Linked DNA regions of Drosophila melanogaster. The gene in region 1 interacts genetically with each later gene. Each region holds a gene or a part of one and is shown on either strand. Other genes may lie near its edges. The genes, in order: B52 and Top1.

Evidence for each region.
Region 2: of B52 (region 1) and Top1, changing one suppresses a phenotype caused by changing the other (phenotypic suppression), as found in Drosophila melanogaster (one study listed by BioGRID).

The regions. Positions count from the first base shown.
Region 1 is NT_033777.3:13,659,565-13,667,459, reverse strand, and holds B52 (B52), read right to left. Parts: upstream 6,150-7,895; 5' UTR 6,018-6,149; exon of another isoform or gene 5,759-6,017; 5' UTR 5,727-5,758; coding exon 5,601-5,726; intron 5,300-5,600; coding exon 5,229-5,299; intron 5,164-5,228; coding exon 5,056-5,163; intron 4,506-5,055; coding exon 4,409-4,505; coding exon of another isoform or gene 4,352-4,408; exon of another isoform or gene 4,006-4,351; coding exon of another isoform or gene 3,985-4,005; exon of another isoform or gene 2,008-3,984; coding exon 1,934-2,007; intron 1,871-1,933; coding exon 1,559-1,870; intron 1,377-1,558; coding exon 1,212-1,376; intron 1,105-1,211; coding exon of another isoform or gene 1,068-1,104; exon of another isoform or gene 1,042-1,067; coding exon 927-1,041; 3' UTR 569-926; downstream 1-568. Other genes in the region: Hrb87F (heterogeneous nuclear ribonucleoprotein at 87F), read left to right, coding at 7,073-7,120, 7,812-7,895. UniProt on the Drosophila melanogaster protein: Essential for development. May have a critical role in splicing or in controlling alternative splice site use of at least some pre-mRNA in vivo. Not required for all splicing. May play a general role in the condensation or decondensation of chromatin.
Region 2 is NC_004354.4:15,317,596-15,322,519, forward strand, and holds the start of Top1 (topoisomerase 1), read left to right. Parts: upstream 1-1,896; 5' UTR 1,897-2,185; coding exon 2,186-2,212; intron 2,213-2,358; exon of another isoform or gene 2,359-2,442; intron 2,443-2,773; exon of another isoform or gene 2,774-3,422; coding exon of another isoform or gene 3,423-3,437; intron 3,438-3,558; coding exon 3,559-3,776; intron 3,777-4,265; coding exon 4,266-4,924. Other genes in the region: gce (germ cell-expressed bHLH-PAS), read left to right, coding at 18-170. UniProt on the Drosophila melanogaster protein: Releases the supercoiling and torsional tension of DNA introduced during the DNA replication and transcription by transiently cleaving and rejoining one strand of the DNA duplex.

The DNA.
Region 1 (7,895 bases):
CATTATTTTACGGCATTCGCATTTAAAATAGGATTTTCGATTATCTGTTCTACTCGTAGTTAGTCGGTGCGATTTTCAAGGCCCATTGCCCATTAACCATTGCTCACTCGAGACGTCAAACGCTTGGAAAGAAAAAATCTCTTTTATCCCTATGTGCTTTGTATATAATAGTGTACTTAATTCGTACAAGTAATTACTTTAAAAGCAAAACACAAACGATATATATTGTTAGAACCAAAACTTTGTCAGTTTATAAAACTTAGTTATGCATTTGATTTTAGATTGCTAATTCATTTTCAAATTTTAAATATTTAACTAGGATATATTTCAGCCAATGAGGTGTCAAAATTATCATTGGCGTTCTTCAAATTCAAGATAAATAAAATCAAATGAAATTGTAATTTTAATTCAGGCAAATAATGCGAAATAGTGAAACTAAGACTTTGTAATATACTTATATTCCGAAATTACGACAACAAAAAAGAAAAACAATAAACTAACTTTATATGATTAAAATCGTCGAAGTACTTTATATCCTTTTTGAAGTGAAACCAGCGAGCAAACATTTATAGTTTAAATTTATCCGTATTTATTGAAATTACTCATTGTATAGACAATTTTAAGTGTTCCGGTGTACAAGTCGCAGTAATTTCGTGGCCTATATGTACTCCTTGAATCCAAATCGGCACATTCAGCCGATCCCTGTCATCTTCCAGCCAATGTCCCATGTCCACAACAAGACTTAGGACAAATTGTCGTTATATATTTAAAAGAAAATGACGAGGCCCGACAGTGGTGGATTGGTATGATTTCATATTCATTAAGTTTTGGTTGTAGTCGGGGTGTCTGAGTGTTGATGTTTGTAGAATAGTTATAGTAGAAGTCTAAAATCAAGTGTTTTAATATTAATGGGACAGCTAACTAATCTAATCGTCCATGCTCTCGTTATTGCGGTCCGGTGAGGCGTTTCCATTTTTGGGCGAGGCCGAACGGGAGCGTGAGCGCGAACGCGACTTGTTTTCAGCCGATGCGGATCGATCGCTGCAAAAGAAAGGCATTGTAGTGAACTATAGAACGAGCTTTTGAACGACCACCGTTGGCGGGCTACAAACAGGTGCATCCAAACAAAACCAAAGAAAGCACGAAAGAAAGAATCGTGAACGGTCTATAATAATATGGAGCCATGGTCATCGCACTGTGGCCAAACTTACCGTGAACGGGAGTCGCGGTGGATGGACTTGGAACGTGAGCGGGAACGGGACTCGCGCTTCGAGACGGACCGCGATCGGGAACGGGAGTCACGCTCACGTTTGGGCGAACGGGAGCGGGTGCGGGAGTGGGACTTTGACTTGGACTTGGACACGTCACGCGATTTGCTGCAGCGGAAGTAGTGAAGTAATTAATTAGTGGGCAATCATATGAAGTAAAAAGCCAGGGAGGATCGTAATTAATATTTTCTATCGTGTAAAATCTATATAATATTAATATTAAAGCATATATCACAAAGAATTTGTGATTAAGTACGATCCCTACCAGACTTTATTCTCTCTCTACTTACTTGGATCGCGAGCGGGAGCGAGAACGAGACTTGACTGGCGACTTGGACTTGGAGCGTCCGCCACGAGATTTGGAGCGGCTGCGAGACTTGGAGCGCGAGTGCGACGAGCGGCGAGAGCGAGAACGCCTGCGGGATCGGGAGCGCGATCGGGAGCTGGACGAACGGGAGCGTCCACGTCCGCTGCCGCCGCCACCACCGCTGCGTCCTCCGCGACGATCCTCGACCAAGTGGATCCGCCTGCCGTTTAGCTCGGTGTCATCCAACTTCTCAATGGCCGTCTTCATGTCCGACAACGAGGCGAACTCAACCACGCTGCAAAGGAACACAATTGTAGTTGGTTGTATGTAAAATAATTTCAACCATTTTCAAACATACCCCTCATTGCGACGCTGCTTGTGGGCATCGGCATAGGTGACCTCGCCAGCCTGGCGCATGTAATCCTTGAGATCCTGCAGGGACGCACAAAGTCGGAACGAAAAGATAGTAATTAGTAAGTTTCAGCTTTGGCAGATGTCTCGCACATTTCGACATCGCACATCCGACGGCAGTGGTTGCAACTCAAAGGACAGCCCGTGCAGCAGATGGAGCATTTTGAATGTTTTCGGTATTATTTGGGGCTCCTAACCAAGTCCCAGCCTCTCACAAGTCCCTCTCTCTCTCTCACTCAGTGCCCTGTGTTCGTCTATCCTGTGCTCTTGTCGCGCCTGCCTACGTGTGGAAACCGAGAACCTCACTCCGGACGAAGGATTTCGCTTGGCCAGGAAAAAAGAAGGAGGAGGTGCCCAGAACGTACCGAACACAACATTCAAACACTCCACGCTGCACGCGGCACAAAACTTAAGCGTAAACAATCATAGTTAACAGTGGTTGGCAATTGATAGTAGATATATATATATATATATAGATTGAGTTGATTTGGTTTGGAAATAAATTAAAGTTAACAAAATAGTTGTAATTGAATTCTTACTTAATGCGCTTTCAGAGAGAGGAGGACACACACATCGTTTCTACACCGAGAGTTTAGATTGTCTGCCTAGTAACTGTGGGCCAATGACACCAAGGACACCTCATGACCTCATCGAAAGTCCGATCGAACATCGTTAACTCAACCAGTCAGCCAGAAGAGAACCAGTGGCCAGGCAGGCGGATGAGCGGATGGATGGCCAGAGCTCGTTACGTTTTGTTTGTTTGGATTTGGTATTCGTTTTCATTTGGCCACGTACGTACCACCAAGTACACAGTTTTGTTATGTTTTTCATGTACAACAGAATCATATTATAAATGGCAAAAAGGTATTCAAGTGTTGCGGTAGCTGTTTTCGTTTCGTTTCGGAGGAAGCCACACACCGGATACAGTCAGGAGGAGGTCAGATCAGATCAGAGCAGACATCGCTGGCCAGAACCACCGCACCAGAGAGCCAGAGAATGGAGCATTTGGAGCAGTTTGCCGGTCAGAGGCGGACAACAACCAGCGGCATCGGCACCTCACGCACAAACGAACTGCAAAAATAAGAAATACGTTTCGGGACGCTGCTCTCGCTTCTCCAACGGGTTGGGTTGGTGGTTGTCTAGTCGGTAGTCTCAGCCGGAGACGGGGCAGGTAGCCGTATGCCGTTTGCCGGAGCCGCAGCCATAAGCCAGAGCCGCAGCCGGAAGCCAGAAGAACCGGGAATGGGGGGAAGGAATAAGTTCGGAGGCACTAGCCGAAGTTGGTAACTGAACGCGCGACCAGCATCGCAGCATCGTGTCATCGTCATCGATCGATCATCGTCATATGCTCATCCCTCATCGTCGCCAAGACCATCACATCATCTTAGAATTAGCGAACGCAAGCTTCTCATCTAACCACACTCGATTGATTCGATTCGCACCCTCATCACACTCACAATGGCTATAAGGAATTTGACAATTCTTTATATAATATTGTTGGTAATTAAAATTGTGAATGTTTTTAGCAGAGAGTTAAATACCTAACGCAAGAGGCCAGCCCACGTCTTTTCAATCAGTGTGGGCTTTAATACGTGGGCTGGCCTTTTGACCCGGGCAGCTCATCAACGTCCATCGTCATCGTCTGCTTTCTGATTTCGATTTTGCATTCAGTTTTGGGTTCGATTCTGATCGACTTGTTCATTTCGTTATGTGTTCTATATTATGTTTTATTTGGAATAGACGACGAATGGATGAGGCGGCGGCGATGGCGCTTCGTGGAGGTCGGTCGTAGGTTGCAGATCGTAGTTCGCATATCGAAACCAATCTGGGGCGGCTCTGGGTACTGTCTCACTCTGTCTTCCACCGCATCTTGGTTTTTGGGTAACATTCTGAACCGGTCGGTCGGTCACTAGACTAGCTTGTCTTTCTCACAGCGATTCAATTAGATTTGATTCTCTTTCAGTTTTAGATTCGGCCCCAAGCCGAGGAGGGAATCTCTCAGTCAAAGCACATCAAACTCTTTTTATTATCGGTTTCGGTTGGTGTGTGCAAGAGAAAGTAATGGTGGGTAGATTACACCGATCAGTACCAGGGTTTTAGCAATATCTTTTGTTTTCGTGTTTCACTTAAGTCTAGGTCAACTGTACAGCTTAGGGCTAGATTACAGATTATAGAATTGGCTCTAGTCAGAGTGGAGGAGGAGTTAAAACACAAAACAGGACGAAGACACCGGAAAGTAATTCGAAATCAAAAAGGGGCTCGAAAAGGTTGGTTCTGGGATGGGTAAGTTGATTAATGGGTGTTTGTAATAGTGATCCATTTCAGTCGGTTAGCCGTTTTAATTCTAGTACTACACTCCTCGAATCTAAGCTACAGTATATACCACGCCCAAGGCGCGATACATCGATCCATGCTCACTTACCTGCCAGCTAACGCGGCTAGACAAATTCTCCACAATCAGTCGGTACTCAGTGCGCAACGGTGGGCCATAACGAGAGGATGATCTGGAATTTTTGTTTCTGGTGAATAATTGAATGGATTCGCTAATTAGTATTGACACTGCGCTGCTGCTCCTGATGCTCCATCACAAAAATTAACGGTAATGGTGAATATATTCCAGCATATGCATATTTACATTTGGGTTATGCGCAACAAATCAAACATTTTACATACTATGCGGATGGGTGGAACGTGCAAATAAAAGCAACAATAGTATGCATAGGAAAACGGAGCGTCTTGGAAATGATAATATTAACAGCAAGTCAGTGTCTTTTGGTTCCCTTCCACGCAGAAGAAATCAGCTTATACGATTGCACTACCAAAAGTGTATAAAACTATAGAAGTCAATATATAATAAACTGATGTTTTTTATATATATCGCAAGTAGCTAATATTATAGGTATATAGATTTTGCACGATCTAAGCTGGTTGCATCTGTGTGGATGGAGATATCAAACGAAACAAATTGGCAGTGCTAATTCTAGGGCAAACTTCAACGCAAACAAAGTTGGAGGACGATATCGTCGCTACTTTGGTCCGGTTTTAAGGTCCGCTGGCAGTACTACTTACTTTTCGTTGTAACGACCGCCCCCGCCCCCCCGCCGACCACCATATCGATCGTCGTAGCGGTCGCGGTTGCTGCCACGAGCGGTACCCCTGGCGGGTTCAACAACCACACTGCAAAAATATAGAACATACAATCGTGAGTCATTTCGTACTTTGGCTTATATCTAACAACTCACCGTTCGCCAAGCAGCTCTTTGCCATTCAGTTCATAGACGGCATCGTCGGCATCACGATAGTCTTCGAATTCCTGAAAATTCAATTAGTGATTAGTATTGATTATGGAATTAGTATTGAAGCTACCCTGCCTGTGCATACTCTTATGGAAATACGCTGGGTGAATTTAAGAACAGTTTTTAAGCGTCACTGTATTTGACAGACAAATGATGGAACAAATATAGGTTCAAAAAGAAAAAAAAAGTATTCAAGGGTCGGCTTGAAATGTTAGGAAACCTATAGACAAACAGAGAAATGCAGAAATGTCTTCAAATCAAATTTAACCGATTTTTTTTTTTTACATATTCCAGTTAAATATGATATTTTGTACTCACCACAAAGCCGTAGCCATTTTTGATGAGGATGTCGCGTGTGCGGCCGTAGCCTTTGAAAAAGCGCTCCAAATCGCGCTCGCGCACTCCGTAGGGCAGACCGCCCACATACACTCGAGATCCCACCATGATAACGGTTCCTTACGTATCTGGAGCAGGTGCTATAAAATAGTGAAGTATATATATATATATCAGCAAGGGAACCGTTGCAGTTTGCAGCTTCTATTTTGCTCGACTGTCCTTTAGGAATGGAAGAAAAAAAAAACGCACATATGTACGCGCCGTGTATGTTTCGCCAAGATGGCGGCCACCACATACACACACACACGCTCGCAATGTACCGGGTGTACAGAACCGCTGCAAAAACGAGTTAATTTAACAACGCGAAATACGCGCTGTTCTTCACTTAAGCGTACTCACTAGCACGTACCGTTCAGTGAAGGATATTTGTGGCAAATTTACAATTAAGTCGCTGCCGTACTCTCTCTTTTTCAGGCTTTCCCACACGAAAAAACGCAAGCGACTCGACACAAACGGAAGTGAAAGTGACAGACGAAAGCGATGTTTGACAGTCATTCCAAAGGCGGAATGGAACGATACTTTTTCGCCTATCGATATTTTGGGCGGGCAATGCGTTTCGCTGCGTTAAGGGTATTCCAGTTGCTGTTCGTGTTCCGCTATGAAAAGAATAAACATTAAATATACTTAGTAGTAGCATTTGAATATACTGTTAACAACCTTTTTATTTTGATATCTGCTAGCAAGCACTCATTAGCATTTTTTAACGTTTCTGATTTGATGATATACATAAAATGTTTCTGGATTTATTAATTTATTTCGCACGATGTCTTTTTTTATTCCCAAATGCCTCATAGATCCCGTAATTGTAATATTGATTGACCCTTAGCTGGCTACTTACAAATATACAATTCAATACAAAATAATTTACAAGTTATCTCTTAAAGTGAAGCCTTCCATCGCCCCAGCTAAAGCGAATGCTCGCAGAAAGAGTTATGTAAGCGGTATTAATAATAATACATATTTAGCTAAAAAGTTAAACATATTAAATGTTTCTTGGGTTATCGTGGTAGTAATTATCATAATCCATTTATAAAGATAATACATTCAAATCCGTTTGTTCAGAAATATATACAATAAACTTGTCTAATATTTTTAAGCCCTTACTAGACGAATACAAATTTATATGAAGATATATAAAATCAAGTGTGGCATCAGCTTAATTGTCGAGGAACACCCCTAACGCACCGAAACAATCGTTCCGATTCCACGTGGCGTCCGATTTTCCGACTTTACCCCGTTCTCGACACCTGGTCATACTGCTCACTCCATTCTCATTGTGCGTGCTGTACATTTCATTTATTGCCAGTCTGCCGTCAAAAAAGAACAAAAACAAAAAAAATATTTCCTGCGTTCGGTGTTTAAACTTTCCATCTTCTTGAACAACCAAGGAGAGAATGGCGGAACAAAACGATTCCAACGGAAACTACGACGATGGTGAAGAGGTGAGTTGCAGAATGACCAATTGCTGTTTGTAAATCGTTCATCGCGCGTGAAAGTGCAAAATGTCGACGCCGACAATATTCGTGTATAATATACATTCACGCCGCTTTTTTACCGAATTATGGGGGCCATCGATCCCTGTGCGAATTTAGCCAGCTAAAAGTTTATCGACCTCTTTTGGCGAGAAATATAAGCAATTTCCGATAAAAAAGTTGCCGGCTGTTTGATAAAAAAGAAAACGAAAATTCATACATACATACACATATACGGGCTGTCATGGCGGTGCAAATACTAAAAAAAAAAAAAAAAAATATGGCGAGCGGCTTTTTCTCGCCAGGTAAATTACTATTATAAACAATGGCAAATCCTTGTTGATCAAGGATGATTTTGCACTTTTATCGTTTTATTGACATAAACTTATTGACTTATTGACAGCAACTTATTTTTTTATTAAATTTACAGCAACTTATTATACATTTAAATATTTTTTATACATTTATTCATTTAGATACAGTATGATTTTTTTTTTTATTATATAAATTTATACATTTTTCGCAAAGTTTGTCCAAAGAAATCAATTAATTTAATTTAATATTACAACTTATTTTCGAATCAATGGGTTTTTTTTTTGTTTTTAGAAATTATTTAAATTATAGAACGTCTTTAGCTAATGCATTTGAAATTCACCCGCAGATCACCGAGCCAGAGCAGCTGCGCAAACTGTTCATCGGCGGACTGGACTACCGCACCACAGATGATGGCCTGAAGGCTCACTTC
Region 2 (4,924 bases), on another chromosome or scaffold:
TCGTGACCCTTTTGCAGCAGGAGCACCAGAAGCAGAGTGAACTGTATGTGAACATCAAGAGCGAGTACGAGGTGCAGCTGCAGCATAAGGCAAGCACCCGGAAGTCATCGGATTCGGATCGGAATCAGGAGCAGCCGCCGCCGCCGCTTCAGGAGGACGACCAGGACTAGAGTGATGGAGAGCGCCCGATCGGGTCTCGACTGAAGGGTTTCATCGATGTGATATGTAACTACTGTCCTGGCAGTCAGCTCAAGCCCCAACATACAAAGTGTCCCTAATTCGTACCAACCAATAGAACCAATAATTCAGGGTTACTTCTCGTTCGGTCAACTGATGGGTAACTGCTGCGGTACAGTTTAGGTACAGATACAGATACGGATAGATAACCTTTAACCCCAACTTATGAGTGAGCCTGAGACAAGCATACTTTAGATACCCTGCCCACATGCACACACTCACATATATATATATATATATATATATATATGTACATATATACACTGTTTGTTCAGTTTGTTGTTTTTAACTTCCTGTCCCACGTAGAAGGACTTTTACATGCATGTAGAACTAGTTACCGTTACCGTTTCCGTTTCCGATTTCGTTTAGAATGTTAGACACATACATATTTAGTAGCTTAATCCAATCACAGCTGATTCTTTTGAACACAACTTGTTATTTGCTGATCCCAATTTTCTAAAACAAAAAGATGGTAGAACAAATATGAATAGAAAAGAGTCACGTCAATTTGCATCGAAAGCGGAAACGGCAACAAACACCCACAAAGGATTAAGATAATGATATAAGTAATGATTAGCGTAAATGGGAGGATTTAAACAATTATTATGCTAAATGAAATATACTATTAAAAACCTATGTACCATACGTTGTGCGTAATGCCCAAACTAAACGTGATAAAAGACTGTTACCAACTACATACACACATACATAATACCGAGATGGAAACAACCGTAAATCTAAAACTAAAACCTAAACTTAAATCGGCATAGTTTCGCATGAAAAGGTAATATATACATACATACATAAATATAACAAATATATTCATACGCGCACTAAAAGGAAGCGTTGCATAGTTTAATTACATTTACCGTACGAACACTTTTTATAGATGTTTAATGTTGTTATGGTTAAGATAAATCCGGACGAATTGATGGATTTTGGCCAAGCACGGTGCACTGCATATATGTAGCAAGTGAGCCAAGTACAATTTACACAAATGTATACATAATTAGATGCATATATGGTTCGATGTAAACTAATAATAAATCGATGTAAAAGCGTAAAAACGGAAGTTAAGAAACCACACACACACACAAACACACACACCCACAAAAACCAGAAAAAGCTGAGGCGACAAAAATATGAGAACTCTGTTAAATGTTTGTTATGCATTTGTTTTTTTTTTTATCTAAATTAATATTAAACTAATGTATTAGTGAATAAACTTGTGTACCTACATACAAAACAATGATAAAGCAGTTATGGCGGTGGTTTTATTTGTTTTTCTTCCAAAATAATAATTGCAAGAGCTGTACGAAAGTAATAAATTACTTCGATGCCAGAACGTTAAATAATTTCTTTAAATGTTTTATATTTCATTTTGTGGCATTCAATGCTTATTTTTTTTTTTTTGAACGTTTGGCGCTGCATTTACCACAATCAGTGATTTAAGCAAATAGTGGGGAAAACCCTTTTGTGAAAGTGAAAAAAAGTTAGCTTTTTCTTAAAGTTATTCTAGATTTCGTATCAATTCAGTGCTCAGACTATCGAGAAAGAGTGAACATCTATCGACAGGCTAGTATCGACACGGGCACCGACGGTCACACTGTCCGAATCCGAACTATCAGCCTATCGCTCTCCGATAGCAGCAGTCGCTACTTGTCCGAACCAATCGCCTATCGGGGAGACTGCGTGGCTGCTGCGTTCCGTAAAACGCAAAGAAGCCAAAAAGCAAGGGCATTCGCATTGACCAAAGCACCAAACGCTGCTCCTTTTCGAAAAACTTCAGTGCGCTTTTATTTCCCCGCCGCTGTCACCGCTTTAAGGAGCACCAACATCTAATTATTGAAAATCCTAACGAACAGTTTAGTCGAACAGTGTAAAAGCGTGAAAAGAAAAGAAAGGAACGAATAAAATAAAAGAAAAACCGCTAAGCGAGTTCCGCAAAATGAGTGGGGATGTGGCTGCCGAAAATGTAAGTGCCCTAAACGAAATATCCATTCCTTTTTTATGTAATGTGCAAACGTGTTGAATGGGGGGACTTTGCCTGCCGCCTGCAGCCTGCCTGTCAGTCCCAAAAAATCAAGTTAAATTCTGAACCGCATAATTGTAGGGTGCACAGGATAGTTGCAAGTGTACCGCTCGCTGCTGGCAGCTGGCAGCGACGCCGACAGCGCTGCCAGCAGAGTGCGTAAAATACAACGAGCAGAGAAAAAAAAGTAAGAAGAGGTCTTTTGGTAATTGACGAAAATGGCGACAATGCAAGTGGGAAAAGGTGAAGGATGGTGTGAAGCAGGGAGGGGAAGAGCCGAGGCAGACGAAATGTATTTGGCACAGTGTGGCCGCAGCTGGCTGGTATTTTAATCAAAACTGGTATTTTCACCAGCCACTCGAACGTTGCCTTTCCACATTTTTCCCCCTCAAAAACACCCTTTAACTAACTCATTTCCCTGCATTTCCACTGCAACTTGCCTTATTTACGTTCGCATAGCGTCTCAATTTCCCTGTTCTTCGTAGATTACCACCAAGTTTGGTCACACTGCCCTCTTCCACACACATAATATCACATGTGTTTGCTGCTGTTGTTGTTGTTGTTGTTGGTTGTGGACCGCTGCTTTCATGTACATATGTAATTGCAAGTGTCCCATTTTGCAATTACACTTCTACATGCACATACATATACGAAGGTGTTCCGTCGTCTGATAAGACAGATGTGCCACCCCAAAACAGCCAAAAACAAATAAAAGCATTAACTAGAAAATGCTCCGGATGAATAATATGCAACCACAATAACAACAATAACCCCGTGGGGATGTGTTTGTGTGTGTAGCTGTTAAAAAAAAAAAAAAAAATGCAAAAAGTGTAAAAAAAAAGCAACGATTTTCTGTATTCTAAACGACTCTTGTGCGTGTGTGGGTGTCATTGTTTGGCAAGGTGTTTTTTAAATATATATTAACCTATTCCAAGTGATTCGGAAACAATTTTCAATTTCCTGTCGCCATCGCTCGGCGGCTCTTCTTCTTCGATTAACCCATTGCTGGTAGTTTAAAGTGAATTTTCCTACGCGGCATTTGTTAGGGTTGATTTTCACCACGTGGTGAGCGGATAGACACGAGATAATAGCCAATCATCGCCAGAAATCGAGAGGAAATCGAGTAGATCCACAAGCGACCAGTTGGGCCAACATGACGGATGCACAGGTTTCTGGCCCGGATTCACTCTCACTTTTCAGCTGGTCCATCTACATATATACGTACTAACTAACTGATACCATCTCCCTTTCTTCTTTCTTCCATCTCGCCATCTCTCTCGCGCCCGCAGAGCATCCACATACAAAATGGTGGCAGCTGCGAGGTGGTTCAATCCAACGGGGTGACCACCAATGGACACGGACACCACCACCATCATCACCACAGCAGCAGCAGCAGCAGCAGCAGCAAGCATAAATCCTCCAGCAAGGACAAGCATCGTGATAGGGAGAGGGAGCACAAGAGCTCCAATTCCTCCAGCTCGTCGAAGGAGCACAAGAGCAGCAGTCGGTACGTATGTAGGAGCAGATCGATTTGACTCGACTCTATGCGATTCGATTCGAATCGGGCCACTCGTGTCGAACCATCTGGAACAGTCCAAATAGGTCAAAGTCAGGAAAGGACAATGTAATCACCTGGGATTCATAATAGTGCTTACATTAAGAGACAGTTGTTCCCCATGTGCTCATTGTTATAGTTCTTATAATCAATTTACAGTGCCAAACTAATGAAATGTAGGTAGCTATCACTTTAAAGGTATTCCGTCTAAAATGGCCTAAGTTTCTATGTTCAGTTCCTAAGTAATTTAAATTATCTCCCAAGAAAGCGACTTTAGATAGAAGCTGGAAGAAAAGGTGCATATGTATATAGAATGAGAAACTGCAATCAGACCAGATAATTCAATATTATATACAGAGTAATGCTTTTTTCAGAGCTATAGATTAGGCTATAACATTTCACAAGGAATCCAACTAATAACCCTAACCTTTTACATTTTAGCGACAAGGATCGACACAAGAGCAGCAGTTCGTCGTCAAAGCATCGGGACAAGGACAAGGAGCGCGATGGCAGCAGCAACTCGCATCGCAGCGGCTCATCGTCCAGCCACAAGGATAAGGATGGGAGCAGCAGCAGCAAGCACAAGTCGTCGTCGGGCCACCACAAGAGGTCCTCGAAGGATAAGGAGCGACGCGATAAGGACAAGGATCGCGGCAGCAGTTCATCCAGTCGGCACAAGTCCTCGTCCAGCTCCCGTGACAAAGAGCGCAGCAGCAGCAGTCACAAGAGCAGCTCCTCTTCATCCTCATCGAAGAGCAAACATTCCAGTTCGCGGCACAGCAGCTCATCTTCCTCGAAAGACCAGCCATCGTACGATGGCGTATTTGTTAAGCCGGAGCCCGTTTCCCAACAGCTGATGCACTCGGGCTCGGTGGATGCTTTCCAGATGCAACAGCTCGGTAGCTACGAAGCCGCAGCCGCCGGCACCAATTTTAATGGCAATGGAAACGTTGCCGGTGCCAACTATAAGAACGGCTACGAGGAATCGATCGTAGACATCAAGAAGGAGGAGGAGAGCTTTAACAATCTGTCGCAAGCCAGCTCCTGTGACTACTCCATGTCCCAGTTTCGTGCCGATGAGCCGCCGTTTGTGGTGAAGC